Drosophila melanogaster: one gene and its partner. The gene in region 2 interacts genetically with the main gene of each other region. Each region holds a gene or a part of one and is shown on either strand. Other genes may lie near its edges.

Region 1 (5,645 bases), on a different chromosome or scaffold from region 2:
ACTTGCGGCAAACAAACTGCAAACAAGCCAAGTAACAATTGGCAAACAACAAGTTAAGCTAGTTAAATGAAGTTTAAGTGCTAATTGATTGAAAGATAAGAAGCCGCACGGAATTGGACCAATCCATATGGCAGAAGTCCAACTTCGCTGGCCCAAAACATCTATGAACTCTTTCAGAAGCATGACTGGTACGTAATTGTTTTTCGAAAATGATTACAATACAATTAAGTATCTTAATAAGTATATATGTAAATTCAAAATAAACAAATAAACTTTAAAAAAACAAGCGATATTGTACTTTATATACCATCATACAGCTGCCAGCGATTGATATTCATGTGGGCTCGCTGTTTTCATACCACTTTTGAATGTCTGAAATTATTTTCAGTGTCATTTAATCGCAACAGTTTCGCTCGCTTTTCTCCACCGTGCGCATGTCTCCATGTCGAATGCGAAAAAATCGAAAACCAGTTCCATTGCAATCATAATTACGAGGCTCCCCATTTATGCATTTTCATTTTTGAATTTGCAATTGAGCTTCTCAAAACGGCGCACGTACATCTAGTACATACATAAATACGGGTATGCAAACCGATATTCGTAAATCAGCCAGAATTCAATGTGAATGTGGTGGATCAAAGCCAAGTTATTGCATAATTCGCCACTAGTTCACTAATTTCAAATCAACATTTTTGAGCTGGCAAAGCAAAAGTAAAGTAAAAACAGCTCTAAATCAAAGTGAAGGTGAATGAAACTAGAAATGCACTCGAAGAAAAAGTGCGTGCTTAACATAAAATAAAAGAAACTTGCTAAACATTGTACGATTCGTGCTTTTAAATATTAGTAGATTTTATATGCTGATCATATGCCGAAGTAGATAGCACTCTTCTATATAATACTTATATCATAGTTAGCCCCATTTCTCGCTGTGTACGAAGTGGAAGTGGAGTTCGTGGCCACGCATGCGGAGCAGAAAGACTGCAAAGCTGAAAAAGAGAGAGGTTTCCCTCTTTTTTTCCAGACAAAAGCGAGATTAGTTCCTCGCTCGTTTGCCCGCCAATCGCGGGTATATAAATTATTATACATTCATACATATATATGTACATACATTATATGTATGTACTTGTATTTCAAGGCGTATTGGAGCTCTTTCACTTTTGTTTTGATTTTTCTTTGGCCAGGCGGACTTTCAGTTTCATGGCTTAAATGCTAATTGGTAAATGCGATTGGCAGTATAAAGTTTATGAAAACAAAGAGCTCAAATCATTTCATTTGTTCTTTGTCAGCTAATCGCATACATAAATATGTATATATAAGTTCTTCCTGAACACTCGCAAAAAACACGCTATAATCTGGCAAATAAAACTCGAGCTGCCAGCGCCCAACAAAACAATAATTATATTATGTGTTTTTTAGCGAATATCTTGAATATTTTAAATATCCCGACTCTCGGCTTGCCATTGAATTCCCCTCATCCAAGTGTTCCAGATAGCTTTACTGCCCACGCACACGAGCGTGGTGAATTCCAGCTATTTAATCTAGTTGCCACTGGCATTGTTTGCTGAAAGCATAGTTAGTAGTGTATGGTTTATAAAGTACATACATACATACATGCATATGAGTATAGTGCTCCTCGCACTTTCTTATCAACGAACCTGCCACCCTCCCCAGAAAAAAAAGCATAAAGTAAATCGAGTATATCAGTTGCAATAAACAATTGCTGGGCCAGTTTTCAATTGTGGAAATTGTGAAAAGCGAACAATAAAAAAAAAAAAAACATTTGCACCGATTCTACTCGAACTCGATGCTAGTAGGTTAATAAAAAGGAACAGCTGTCGCTTTCTGCGAAATGCAAAACAAATAAGGGCATTCTACGAAATTCCCTTGAATGGCTTATTTAATATTTGTTATTGCCACAAGTTGCATCAATTAACGATTGCCAATAGTTTGCTTCTGTTACAGCTCATTACTCCCATTGCATTATTCGATCCCTTAAGATATACAAGATATATGATCGAATTTAACACCTGTGCTCGTTGGGCAAGAATAAAGCGCAACAGGTGCATATCGGTTGATGGCCCCATTCCAGGTGTTTATTATTATAAATATTGCATAACAATTGGCACTGCCACTTGTGGAATGCTTCCAGACTCGCAATTCGATTCGAATGCATGACCCAGAACGTGATTTGAAATTCTCTCGGGATAAACTAGTTCCAGAAAGCCACTTAGCTTAAGTACACAAAAAACACTCACCCCTCTTTGTTAGCAGTGTGACGGAGGCGGTGGTCACGCCCCTTATTTTAAGCACATGACTCTCGATCTTGTTGACGCAGGAGGCGCAAGTCATGCCCATAATCTCCAACTCCACCTCCGCCTCGCCGTTGTCCGGCTCATCGATGAGTTCGGTGGGGAAGCCCAGCTCCGTGATTGATTTCGCTATATTCTCGGCCGTCACAACATTGGCATTGAACTTGACCTCCGCCTTGGCGGCCAGCAGGGCTACCAGGATGCTGTCCAGGCCGTAGATCTTCTTGCAGTGCTTCTCGATGGCGGCCACACAGCTGGCGCACGTCATGCCTCGGATGTGCAGAAAGCATTTGGTCAGTAGCTCCTGTTCGACGGGTATGGCCACTGCCGAACCATTTTGAGCATATGAAGGAGGTGGAGGAGTAGGAGTTGCCCTCTTTTTGGGTGATGAGGCGGGGGCGGGCGACGGCGATTGGGATGGCGATCGAGGTTCCTGCACACTAGCCTCAAAACCCATGTCATCGATGAGCTCGGCTATCTGGGCGGGATCATACTGGGCGGGATCGTACTGAACGCGGGCATTCTTGGCCGCCAGTTGCACCTCAATGGAATGGATGCCCGGCTTGGTGCCGATATTGCCTTCGATGTTGCGCACGCACGACTGGCAGGTCATGCCCACCACCCGTATGTTGGTCCATGCGCTGGCGGGAGTTTCGGGAGGATCTGCTGCATCCCCTGGATAGCTGCACTCGAAGCCCATGTCGTCGATATCGCTGGCTATCCGGGCGGGATCCGTCTGTCGGGGATCGTAGTCGAAATAGCCCGCATTCTCCTCGAGAATGACGCGCACGCCAAGGATTCCCGATTTCTGGCCAATGTGCTCTGTGATATTGCGCACACACGACTGGCAAGTCATGCCCACAATGGGCAGGCGCACCGTGGACATCGTCGCTTCTACTCTCTCGTCACTTGGCATCCTCAATGTGCATTATTTTGGGTGGGCGGAACACGACGATGCGGAATTACTTGATATACTTGAGATTTTGAACTTTTGAGTTGCCCCTCGCCCTATCGCACGTACCGAATTGTGTCACTAAACTAACTTTGTGGAGTCGGGTGAGTCGTATTGCAGCTACTACTGGATTTGTTGTGGTGGAGTAGTCGCCTCCCGCCAACGCTTTTCACTTGGCCAAACTCCACACGAAACTCACAATTTTGCGTTCTTGTGTCTAATTTTTCAATTAGCAGGCAACAGCTGCTCCGCTCCCGTTATGTTTTTCCCACGGCACGCAACTACCGATGGCCGTCCGTCGATAGGCAGGCGCTATCGAGATGAGCTAGATACCGATGTGGGCTATATCGATACATTGCTTAAACTTTCGATTCGATAAAAAAATATGTGACTAACTAATGTTTTCTTTTTAGCTATTTAATTGTTTAGTTAAATTTCAAACTAAAAAAAGGAATCTTATTAGATTTGAAAATTGCCAAGGTATCGTACATATCCCCCACTTGTCGATAAAAAGTCGATACGAGTCACGGCCGAACGGTCATCTGCCATCTCTATCCGGTCTACTACCGATTTGATTTGATTTGTTTTGGAATATCTATCTCTATTTTTTCGAAATCTCCAATATAATCCAACTCAGCATTGGCGCAGTAAAGCAAGATGCCGGTGGTGGAACTGAAAGTGGATCGCAACCTGGTGTGCTCGGACTTTTCTGGCTACAAATTGGCATTCGATTCGGTGCCTGTTCTTCGCCAGGAACTTGGATGTGATGCCTACGTGCTGGATCCGAGCAGCAATCAGTTCTCGCTGCTGCACACGGAGCTCTTTGCCCGACACAATCACCTGGTAGCCGATCCATGGATGCGCCACTGCAGCTACTTCTTTAACAAGCGCCACCAGCTGGTGCAGTGCAACTACGATCTACAGACTGGACGCGCACGTGCCCAGCGCGTTGTCCTCACGGTGGACTATAGGGATCAGGGCGATGGGGAACTACATCGGTCGGGTGACTACAACTACACCATAGTTTTCGTTTCGGAACGATTCTGTGTGATCTGCGACGGTATAACCAGTTACCATCTGGTGGACACCGGCGACAGAACGCGCACCGATGTGCAGGAGTGGCAACGGATTACACGCTCGCCGGTGAATAATAACAGTGGTCATCGCGGCTTTGCACTCTTCGATGCCCGGCTGGATGTGCTGCAGGAACGTAAGCAGATCTCGCTGGTGGCCGGTCATGTGGCACGCCGTGATGCAGTTGGCCAAGATCAGACGCACGTCTATTACATGGACTTGACCTGGGCACGGTGGACTCATTCGCCCACCAATGACGAGTGGTCATATAATATCTGTCAACGGCTGGAGACCACTGGCTCTGTGCACTACTGCGCCTTTGAGCCTCGCGCCGAGTCCCTAGTCATTGCCAGCAACCGCGATGTTCAGACTCCCGAGGAGCGTCGGGCAGCCGATGAAGCAGCCGCTGCCCGCTTGAATTCCTCAGGTGATCACGATGGCCAGCTGGAAAATGGAGGTCCACCTAGTTATAGCTGGTCCCAAACGGATAATAATGTGCTCATTCGTTTCAATGTTCCTTCAACTGCATCCGCTAAAGAGTTTAACGTGAGCGGTTCTAAAACCACTGTCGTTGTAAAGCATCTGGATGAGGTTATATTCGACGAAGAGTTATACGCCAGTGTGGGAGATGATTTAAGTGCATTTAAGTTGGCTGAGAATGGCCTAGAATTGTCACTAACCAAGGCGGAGATTCAGAACTGGCCACGTTTGTTCGCGCAGAAGAAAGATGACGTAGCGGAGGAAGTACATCCAATGGAAGCTCCACCACTGCCCATTCCAAGTCTGCAGGATCCCGTTGAAGAATGTGACTTAATATCCGCTGATGAAGAAATGAAGATGGGTAAGCATTCTATTATACATCTGCTGCATATGCTTAATAAATACATTTTCTTCTTTTAGTACGCTTCAATTTGACCAGCGGGTGCATCACCCACACTATTTTTCTTGGTCCCCCGCCACTGGTGCTCACCACCACGCTGCGTCCTGGCTTTCCAGCCGCCTTTGCTACCCGCCAGGGCGTCGACGCCTCCATATGGCTACAGATGTACCAGCCCAGTCGTCCAGATGAATGGAGTGTCCGCCACGAGGGCCAGCTGCACGCCTTCGGCTACGTGCAGGCCTCCAAGGTTGTGCGGAAATTCACCGTCTGCAGTCCGGATCTGGATTACGTAGCCATATGTGACCCTGTACGCTACGTTCTCGTCTACTTTCCGGCTAATAATTCGGCTGATGGTCTCCGCAGGCGAAACGGACCTCCCGTCACCTTGGGTAAACAAAAGCTCATCACCTTGGGCAACGAGATTGACGAG
Region 2 (8,753 bases):
GCCAAGAAGACTGTGGCCGAGAACACTCCTCGTACCTCGACGGAAGCACCGCCTCCAAAGGGCAGCAGGGCGGCCATCCAGACAGGTCGGACCGGTGGCATTGGCAATGCTATCAGTGCATTTAACCAGATGCAGTCGCCTGTTTCTGAAACCCCTCCAGCACGAAAGGAACCCATTATCATTCCCAAGGCGCAGCCTGTTAAAATAGAATTAGAAGCAAAGGAGGAGCCAACGGCAAGTACAACATCAGCTGCGGTTGCTCCTACTCCGACAGTGGTCCCCGCTCGAGAGCCGGAAACAGCTCCAGTGGCCAAGGCTGCAGCTCCACCACCAGATGTGGTGCCCCAAATTGAGGTTGAGACCGTGGACACGCCTCCCAGAAGTGAGCCGCAATCACCAGTGTATGTGCCGACGCCTCAACCCGAAGTCCACGCCCAAGTCCAAGTCCAACCTGAGCCGCAACCTCAAGCCGATCCTGAGCCAGTAGTTGAAGAAGAGCCACTGTACCAGAACCAGGCCGAGATTAAGGCTGCCTCGCCCTTGCCACCAACGAATGGAACCGTTTCAGAGGCTGTTGCTCCGAGTGGCACCGCAACCGTTCCCGAGGAGGCAATCTACGCGAACTCAGACAATTTGGCCGACTATCTGGAGGACACCGGAATCCACGCCATTGCCCTGTACGACTACCAGGCGGCGGATGACGACGAGATATCCTTTGATCCAGATGACGTGATCACCCACATCGAGAAGATCGACGATGGGTGGTGGAGGGGATTGTGCAAGAACCGCTACGGACTCTTTCCAGCCAACTACGTGCAGGTGGTGGGACAGAACTCATAAAAGCTTCCAATTGAAATTCACGATAGAACAAAATCAAATTGTATTTACATACTAACGAAAACGATAATACTGATGTTGGATTATAAACCATATAAACCAATTCGCAACTAACCCAGCCCATTTCCCATCCATTGTTTACCCTCTTAACCCTCCAAATTATGTGCAACGAATGGCTAGATATTGAATTATTATTGTAATTTGTTATGCTAGCACTTAAAGTAACCGTGGTATTCCATTTTTGATATATGTATCATTTATTGCATTTTACATTCTTTGTATTTAACACATTTATTTTACCAAGAAAATATGCCAAGCTATTTTAGATATCTCTCATTTCATATTTTATGCATTAGTTATGATATTTGTGTCAAGTAACGATTTTGGTTTTTTTGAATTGTATAAAGTCTACGAGAGTTTCCCGTGTCAGGTGATCTGATCTAATGTTAAAGACGGATCTAATGTTGAAGACAGTCACAAACAAAAAGTCTGCTCTTTTGATAAAGAAATACATAATTAATAAAGTTAAATAATAACGAGTTCTCTCTTAAATTGTGGTACTGATAGTTCGGGTGTTTTTGTTTTTTTTTAAGGCCTAACAAATCATTTTACTAAGTAAAATGATTTCATTGGATACGGGAATTCACAAATTTCTATAAGAAGATAAGAACGAGCATATTGTTGGGTTCCTTCTAATATCACGAGGATATCTCTATTTTGGGGTAGAACTGTCAAGGCCTTTCTTGGATGGGCCGAATTCTTATCTGCCTGTTCCGAACGCATCGTAATCTGGCAAAGTAGAAATTGTTACATGAAACGAGCTACTGACATGATTCATGGTGCAAATGTGAGTGCATATGGGCTCAACAAAGAAAGAGTACTTTGCATTGTGGTGATTAATTAGTTAAAAAACATACATAAGTAGGATGTACGGCCATATTGTAAATTTGAGCGCCAATCCCAAAAAGACTTGATAAGATTTATCGCAATTATTGGCGACGGATCGTAATCGAAAAAAGTGTCAGACGAAATCAAAGTTTTGACTGATAAAGTTGATGTATAAATTAAACTTCAAGGAGGTATTACGATAAAGTGTGCGTGTTGGTAATAACGTAGATATTATTAACTAGTGATTGTAACTCAAAGGGTATGCAACTTAACTATGTATCCCGCATAACATTTCTAACGGTAACCTGCGGTCGATGTACAAACCGGTATTTCAAATGCATGTTCAAATCTTAGGCGGTATTTCTGGGGCCTTCAAAAATCCAAATCTCAGGCCTTATCAAAAAATCTCCCCTCAAAAAAAAGCAGTGGTCTTTCTCCCACGCACACACTCTCTCTCTCTCTCTTTCTGTCTTTCTTTTTCTCACTTGCCGACGCGAGAGAGAGATATTTTGAATAAATAGGGGCTACCGCAAAATGCTATAGTCAGTCACTCGATCGCGTGGGCTCAGAGTTAAAACTTCAGTTTGGCCGATAAGGTTAGTACTCTTGTCGAGTGTTGCCAGATTTCGGCAAGTCAAAGAAGAGAGAGTGGCCGCAGGTTGCCACATTGGGCACAGACGAAAAGACAGTGTGCATGTGAGAGGCGAGTGAGTGTGCGTGCAAAAGAAAGCAGCTGGTGGCAGAATCTCAAATATTGTGAGGAAAATTAATAAACAAAGAGCTGCGCTCACGGCTGAGCACAAATTGCCTGCACGCTCGTCAATTGTCGTTAACTAAGTCAGCAATTGGCAGCCAAACCGTCCGCTTCTTCGTCATTTCTCTGCTTCGTTTACTGCGACCATCACCACTCTTGTTTCGGCCGTACAACGTCACGGAATTCGTAAATTTCGTAAATTGCTCCGCGAGAAAAGCAGGAAAATGCATTTATAAGCTGCCACAAGTGCCGAGATTGTGATATAATAAAGGCGAGGGCTCCAATTAGTTAACCCCCAGTTGCAAGTAAGCCATTAACTGGTAGGAAGTGCTGTTTAACCTGAGTTGCCCAATAATTTACATCTCCATCAATATTTCGTGTGTGTGTGTGAGTGCGCACGCAGGTGTGCGCTAATAACAAAAACAACGTGGTGCACCCTCTCTCCGTCCGCTCTCCCTCTAACCGGCAAAGAGAGTAATGTATAATTCTTAACCGTAAATAACCGTAAACAGAAAACAATTGTTGACAAGCTATTCGCACTTTAAAATCCCCTAACAATGGATAGTTTTCCAGACACAATTCACTACTTTTATTGCCAGCGAGAACTGTCATAGAAATAACTATTTTAGGCAGCGGAAATCGTATAATTACTGTTTTAGTTTTTTTTTTTTTAACAAGCGACTTAACAATGTGGGCTGATAAGTATTGCTCTTCTATTTTCAAATTACTGTTATCTGCATTTGTCAATTTTTTGTTGTCAAGTGTTTTGTTTCGCCTGCTTCAATATACAATATAAATTGCTTTTGCCCGCTGACTGCGCAAAATGGTACGCAGTTTAAAATATATATTTTCTCTAAATAAACTCATGATATTTTTTGGTGCCACTTAATTTGGACTCTTAATGGAAATGGTTCGTTTTTTTTTTTTTTGATTACCAATTGTCATAATTTACAGCGTCCAACTGGGCACTAAAGTGGCAAAGGAACACGTACATAAATATGTGGCTGATTATACACTTATCGGCTAGAATTCCGCTTTTGGGGGCGTGGGTATTGCCATACAACTGGGTAAACAGAGCAGTCTGCGCCACACAATATAACACAAAAGTGTTCCAATGAACTAAACACCCTCCTCCGACATTTCGTTGTTACACATTTCCTTCGAGCCACTGCAGCGCGATTTAAGCTCCATTAATGGCGGCTTGATATGGCCAACTCGGTTACTTATAGTATATGCCAAATGTACCCGTCCAAGTGCCACATATAATGTGAAGTAGACATTGCACGATGCTCTCGAGCTCTTTGTCTTTGCTTGCTCCGATTCAATCATCAATGAAGCGATGTGGAAAGCCTTATAGCAGATATGTAGCATCAGTGGGGCAGTCGCGTTTGTCAAGGTGAGCCACTTGGCTCTACATTCAATGTATTGCGTTGAAGAGCAGCCAAGACTGCTCAGGCATCTTGTATACGAAATGCACTTGTAATCGCTTTTACCAAATAAACAGTCCAAAATTTCACATCGATACACGGGTCAATGGACTCGTGTTTATGTTCAAGTAGTCTTGTTTTCGACCATCCATATCTATACGACTGCAAATGCGAAATATCTGCAAGTTCTCTGGGTAAATTGGGCAGAGGCATTTCAATTACTGGACTTCATGAATCACTGAGCTCGTTTTATTTCCTTATATACCCGCATAATATAAGCAAATTTCAGTAATATTATGGACGCGTTATCAGTTACCCCCGAGCTAATGCCTCTCGAACTATTTATTGTTTTCATATTTTGCCACGCGCGTTTCGGAAAAAATAAAACGTGTTACTGTGACTTTGCTCTTGATTATGGTGAAATCCCCAAATAAAACTATATGGTGCAAAAAACTTAATTATAGCGCAAAATTATTTTGTTTGTTGTGTGCAATATGATAATGCTAATTGAGCTAGAATCACACACAGATGCTCAATTAAATGAAAATGGTGGGAATCATAAGCTGATGCCAGGTGAAACAATCAAATAGAAAATACAAATTAGAGTAGTCGACAATGGGCAGTGGACGGGAATATAGCAGCATGTGGAAACTCGAATTAGGTCCAGTCTAACCTCGCCTCTTCTGTGCAGCATGTCTTCGAATGAGGCCTACCACGAGCCGGGTGCCGGTGGAGATGGACCGGGCGGATCGTCTGGCGCATCCGGCGGAGGAAGTCAGCGGAGCAACCAGCTGCACCACCAGCAGATACTCAACGAGACGACCTACCTGAAACCCGCCGCCAAGCAGGCCTACTTTAGCGACGAGAAGGTCCTCATACCCGACGATGATAGCACAAACGTAAGACCCGCTTGAATAGCAATGCTACTCAAACTTTATCTAATATCTGGTGATCTGCAGGTGGGTTTCAGCTTTCGCAAGCTGTGGGCCTTCACGGGACCCGGTTTTCTTATGTCCATTGCGTATCTGGACCCCGGCAACATCGAATCCGATATGCAGTCTGGTGCGGCGGCCAAGTACAAGATCTTGTGGGTCTTGCTGTGGGCCACAGTCCTAGGTCTGCTCATGCAACGCTTGGCTGCAAGGTAATTGGGTCTCCACACCTTGCAAAAAAGATGATGATATAAGCGTTTATTATCTTCCTGGCAGACTGGGCGTGGTTACAGGCCTGCATCTGGCCGAGATGTGCTACAGACAGTACAAGCGTCTGCCACGTTGGATACTGTGGATAATGATAGAGATAGCCATTATTGGATCCGACATGCAGGAGGTCATTGGCACGGCCATTGCCATATACCTGCTGTCCAACAAAGTGTAAGCAAATCTAATGAGCGGATTATCGCAGTACCCAGTACTCATGCATGCGGTGCTTTCCCCATTTTGTAGAGTGCCTTTGTGGGGCGGAGTGTTGATCACCATTGTTGACACGTTCACGTTCCTGTTTCTGGACAAGTACGGTCTACGCAAGCTGGAGTTCCTATTCGGCACCCTCATCACCATTATGGCTGTCTCATTCGGCTATGAGGTAAGTTTAAAATGCAAAGTTGAAAAAAATAACTTAACTATAAAAAGTAATCGCCAAAATCAGCAAAAAATCCCCTTGCCAAATGACAATAAAGTAGTCAAGAGAATAAATTACCAGACGTGAGTGCAAATACGAATTGTTTAAACAATTGCAACGACCGCAATGGCAAATAATTTGTGAGATGCCTGTTTAGGTTTATTTTAATGATCGCTAGTAGTAAATTTACATTTGACTTGTCGATTTCTGGATGAAGTTAGCCCGTTAACTAGCCCCATATTCTTACTCTTAAGTTTACGACCGCATCATGTTAACGGGCCAGATTATAAACAATTGTACTTGAGCTTTCTGCCCCAGACGGAGATGATTAGATAAGCTTCACTCGCACACTAAATGGGGTTCTGAGCGTGGGTGCTGGATACTTCATCTTTTGTTTGCCAGGCACATGATGCTGCCGGACATGACTAACAATTCCAGATGGGATGTGTAATGCCAGTCTTATCAATTAGATTATACAATGCAGAATTGTACAATTACCGATGGTGGTTTTTGGAGATAATTACAATGGAAAAAAGTGGGGGTGCCTCGAGGGGATTTTTCTACGAGTAACAAGTATTTTGTTATTTCTAACCAAATCTCAATATAAGCTAGGAACAATTTGTTTTCTCCCCATAATCATTTTTTAAATGGTTTTAAGTCATAATTAATTTATTTTTCATATCTTTCAGTACATTGTATCAGCCCCTAATCAAGGAGAAGTTCTCGAGGGAATGTTTGTGCCCTGGTGCTCTAACTGCAATTCGAATGTGTTGCTGCAGGCCGTGGGTGTCGTGGGTGCTGTTATTATGCCGCACAATCTCTACCTGCATTCCGCCTTGGTTAAGGTATAGCACAACTAGCTTTTTGTGACTTCGTAATTAGATACCAATACATAACAATTTTCTGTTAACAGTCCCGCGATATAGACCGTCGCCAGACAAAGAAAGTTAGTGAGGCGAATTTTTACTTCTTCATCGAGGCGTCGGTAGCCTTGTTTGTGTCCTTCATCATTAACCTGTTTGTGGTGGCTGTGTTTGCCCATGGCATGTATGGCAAAACTAATAATGATGTGGTAAGTAGACTTTTGAATTTATGTGTAAAATGATTGCTAACTCTTTGTGGGCCAATAGGTTGAAGTGTGTAAAGACAAGTCGATGTACGAAGATGCCAAAATGTCTTTTGTGGACAATGTAAATGGAACCGCGATCATCGATGCAGATCTATACAAGGGCGGACTTTTCCTTGGCTGCACATTTGGAGCTGTCGCCATGTACATTTGGGGTGTGGGCATTCTAGCTGCTGGCCAGAGTTCCACCATGACGGGCACCTATGCCGGTCAGTTCTCAATGGAAGGCTTCTTGAATCTGCAGTGGCCGCGCTGGTGTCGCGTGCTGGTCACGCGCTGCATTGCCATTATTCCCACCTTCTGCCTGGCCATGTTCAGCAAGATGGAAGATTTGACTAGCATGAACGATATCCTGAATGCGGTGATGTCGCTCCAGCTGCCATTCGCTGCCATACCCACCATCGCCTTCACCTCGTGCGCCGCCATAATGGGCGAGTTTGTTAATGGACTGTAAGTGATACAGACACTTTTAATTGATTATCGTGCATTCTTTAAATTTTTGTATTCACAGGGGCAACAAAATCGTATCCATACTGCTCACCATTGTAGTGATTGGCGTTAATTTGTACTTTGTGGTGGTGCAAGTAGAGAATATGGAAATTAAAGGCGGCTTGCTGGCACTAGTCTGTGAGTAGTCAATTGCCACAATTTAAACCGAATCTAATGTATTTTTCCTTTTGCCAATTGCAGGTATTTTTGCCATTTTGTATATACTGTTCAACCTCTACCTTGTGATACACATGGCTGCCTGCATGGGCAATCAGCGTTTGATGAACAGCCGGGTAAGTACTTGGCCGCAACTAGTTGGGTCACTTATCAAATGGGCTTAGAGAATCACAAATTAGGCGAACTTTTTGACACATTTTAAAGCATCACAGATACCGCACTGAACGGACTGACTTTATCAAATTACGTGACTGACCACATATGGTTCTTGGGGGCTTTGAGGGCTTATGCCTACTTCATCAACTGGTACTCAAGGTATTCTCTGTTTACAGTGGGTGCAGCGTTTTGTGTTGCCAAGCCAGAACAGCTTTTCGATAAAGAACGCCAACTCGACGTACGCCAGGTATGTTCCCGATTTTTGATTCCAACCATTCAACCATATAACCATCCAGAACACACTCGAATGCACAAACTCTCTCGATTTGCATCTTCTTCCTTAAAAGCATTCTCTGCTAACCCATTGCTTGTGATTAAGTTTTTTCCCGCTCTGCTTTCAACCAAATCGGCCTAACTTCCTAATGATTCTAATCTTATCTCATCTGTACTTACTTTCTATTTACTAATCTACATTTGGTTATCATCTCTGAACTAAAACTAAACCCTCAACCCGTATTTTGCTGTGCTCTCTTCTTTCGATTTTTCACAGTGATGTAACCTTAGTTGTAGGCGATTCAGCTACTAACACGGTGAAAGGTCTTGATACCGTCTCGGAGAAAGTGCCTAACTGAATCATCCCGGTGACTCAATCAGGCCACACTCCCCCACACACCCTTGTGATATTAACACTAAATCACACGCTTAACACTACTAACACGTACCTAGTAGGGCTCTACGCAACCCTTAGCATTTGTAAGGCATGTCTTTAGGGGAACTACGATTGTACATAAAAAGCATTTACCCATCAACGATGGGGTCCTATAGATTATAAGCTTGACTGTGGTAAGTCTTCTATGATTGCTTTATCGAGCTATGGGTATTATGTACTCATAAAGCTTTGGCGCTTAGCATGTTAAATAAAGTTGCAGTTATCACTAAGTATTACTCGAGAAGTCTTTCAATTTATTGGTAATTGGTATTTGACCATAAGTGCGAATATAAGCCATTTTACGATTGGAATTTGATTGCACAAGGATTGTACAAGGAATTAGAACGAAATAAGGAAACAATTAGTAACTAAATGTTATATTTGCTTAAGTATTAAAATATATTAGATTATTTTAAGTATATTTTTCGTAATGGACATAAAGCACATTGGGCGTGGCTCATTTATCACCCTAATACCACTAAAATAACTAGAAATCCAAATAAATGTGGGTAATTTTCGAATAATTTTGTATCACAACATATTTCTTTTATTATATGTACTTGGAAACCC

The links. A genetic interaction does not mean that the proteins touch.
Region 1: of Mvl (region 2) and ATP7, changing one enhances a phenotype caused by changing the other (phenotypic enhancement), as found in Drosophila melanogaster (one study listed by BioGRID).

What each region holds. Positions count from the first base shown.
Region 1 is NC_004354.4:11,852,932-11,858,576, reverse strand, and holds the start of ATP7 (ATP7), read right to left. Parts: upstream 3,556-5,645; 5' UTR 3,226-3,555; coding exon 2,256-3,225; intron 1-2,255. Other genes in the region: CG10347 (uncharacterized protein), read left to right, coding at 3,919-5,176, 5,236-5,645.
Region 2 is NT_033777.3:21,054,313-21,063,065, reverse strand, and holds the start of Mvl (malvolio), read left to right. Parts: upstream 1-2,412; 5' UTR 2,413-2,481; exon of another isoform or gene 2,482-4,597; 5' UTR 4,598-4,598; coding exon 4,599-4,805; intron 4,806-4,865; coding exon 4,866-5,050; intron 5,051-5,114; coding exon 5,115-5,279; intron 5,280-5,351; coding exon 5,352-5,490; intron 5,491-6,215; coding exon 6,216-6,371; intron 6,372-6,439; coding exon 6,440-6,598; intron 6,599-6,656; coding exon 6,657-7,102; intron 7,103-7,163; coding exon 7,164-7,279; intron 7,280-7,342; coding exon 7,343-7,434; intron 7,435-7,650; coding exon 7,651-7,721; intron 7,722-8,024; coding exon of another isoform or gene 8,025-8,106; exon of another isoform or gene 8,107-8,418; intron 8,419-8,753. Other genes in the region: cortactin, read left to right, coding at 1-840. UniProt on the Drosophila melanogaster protein: Putative transporter required for normal taste behavior. May be a nitrite/nitrate transporter.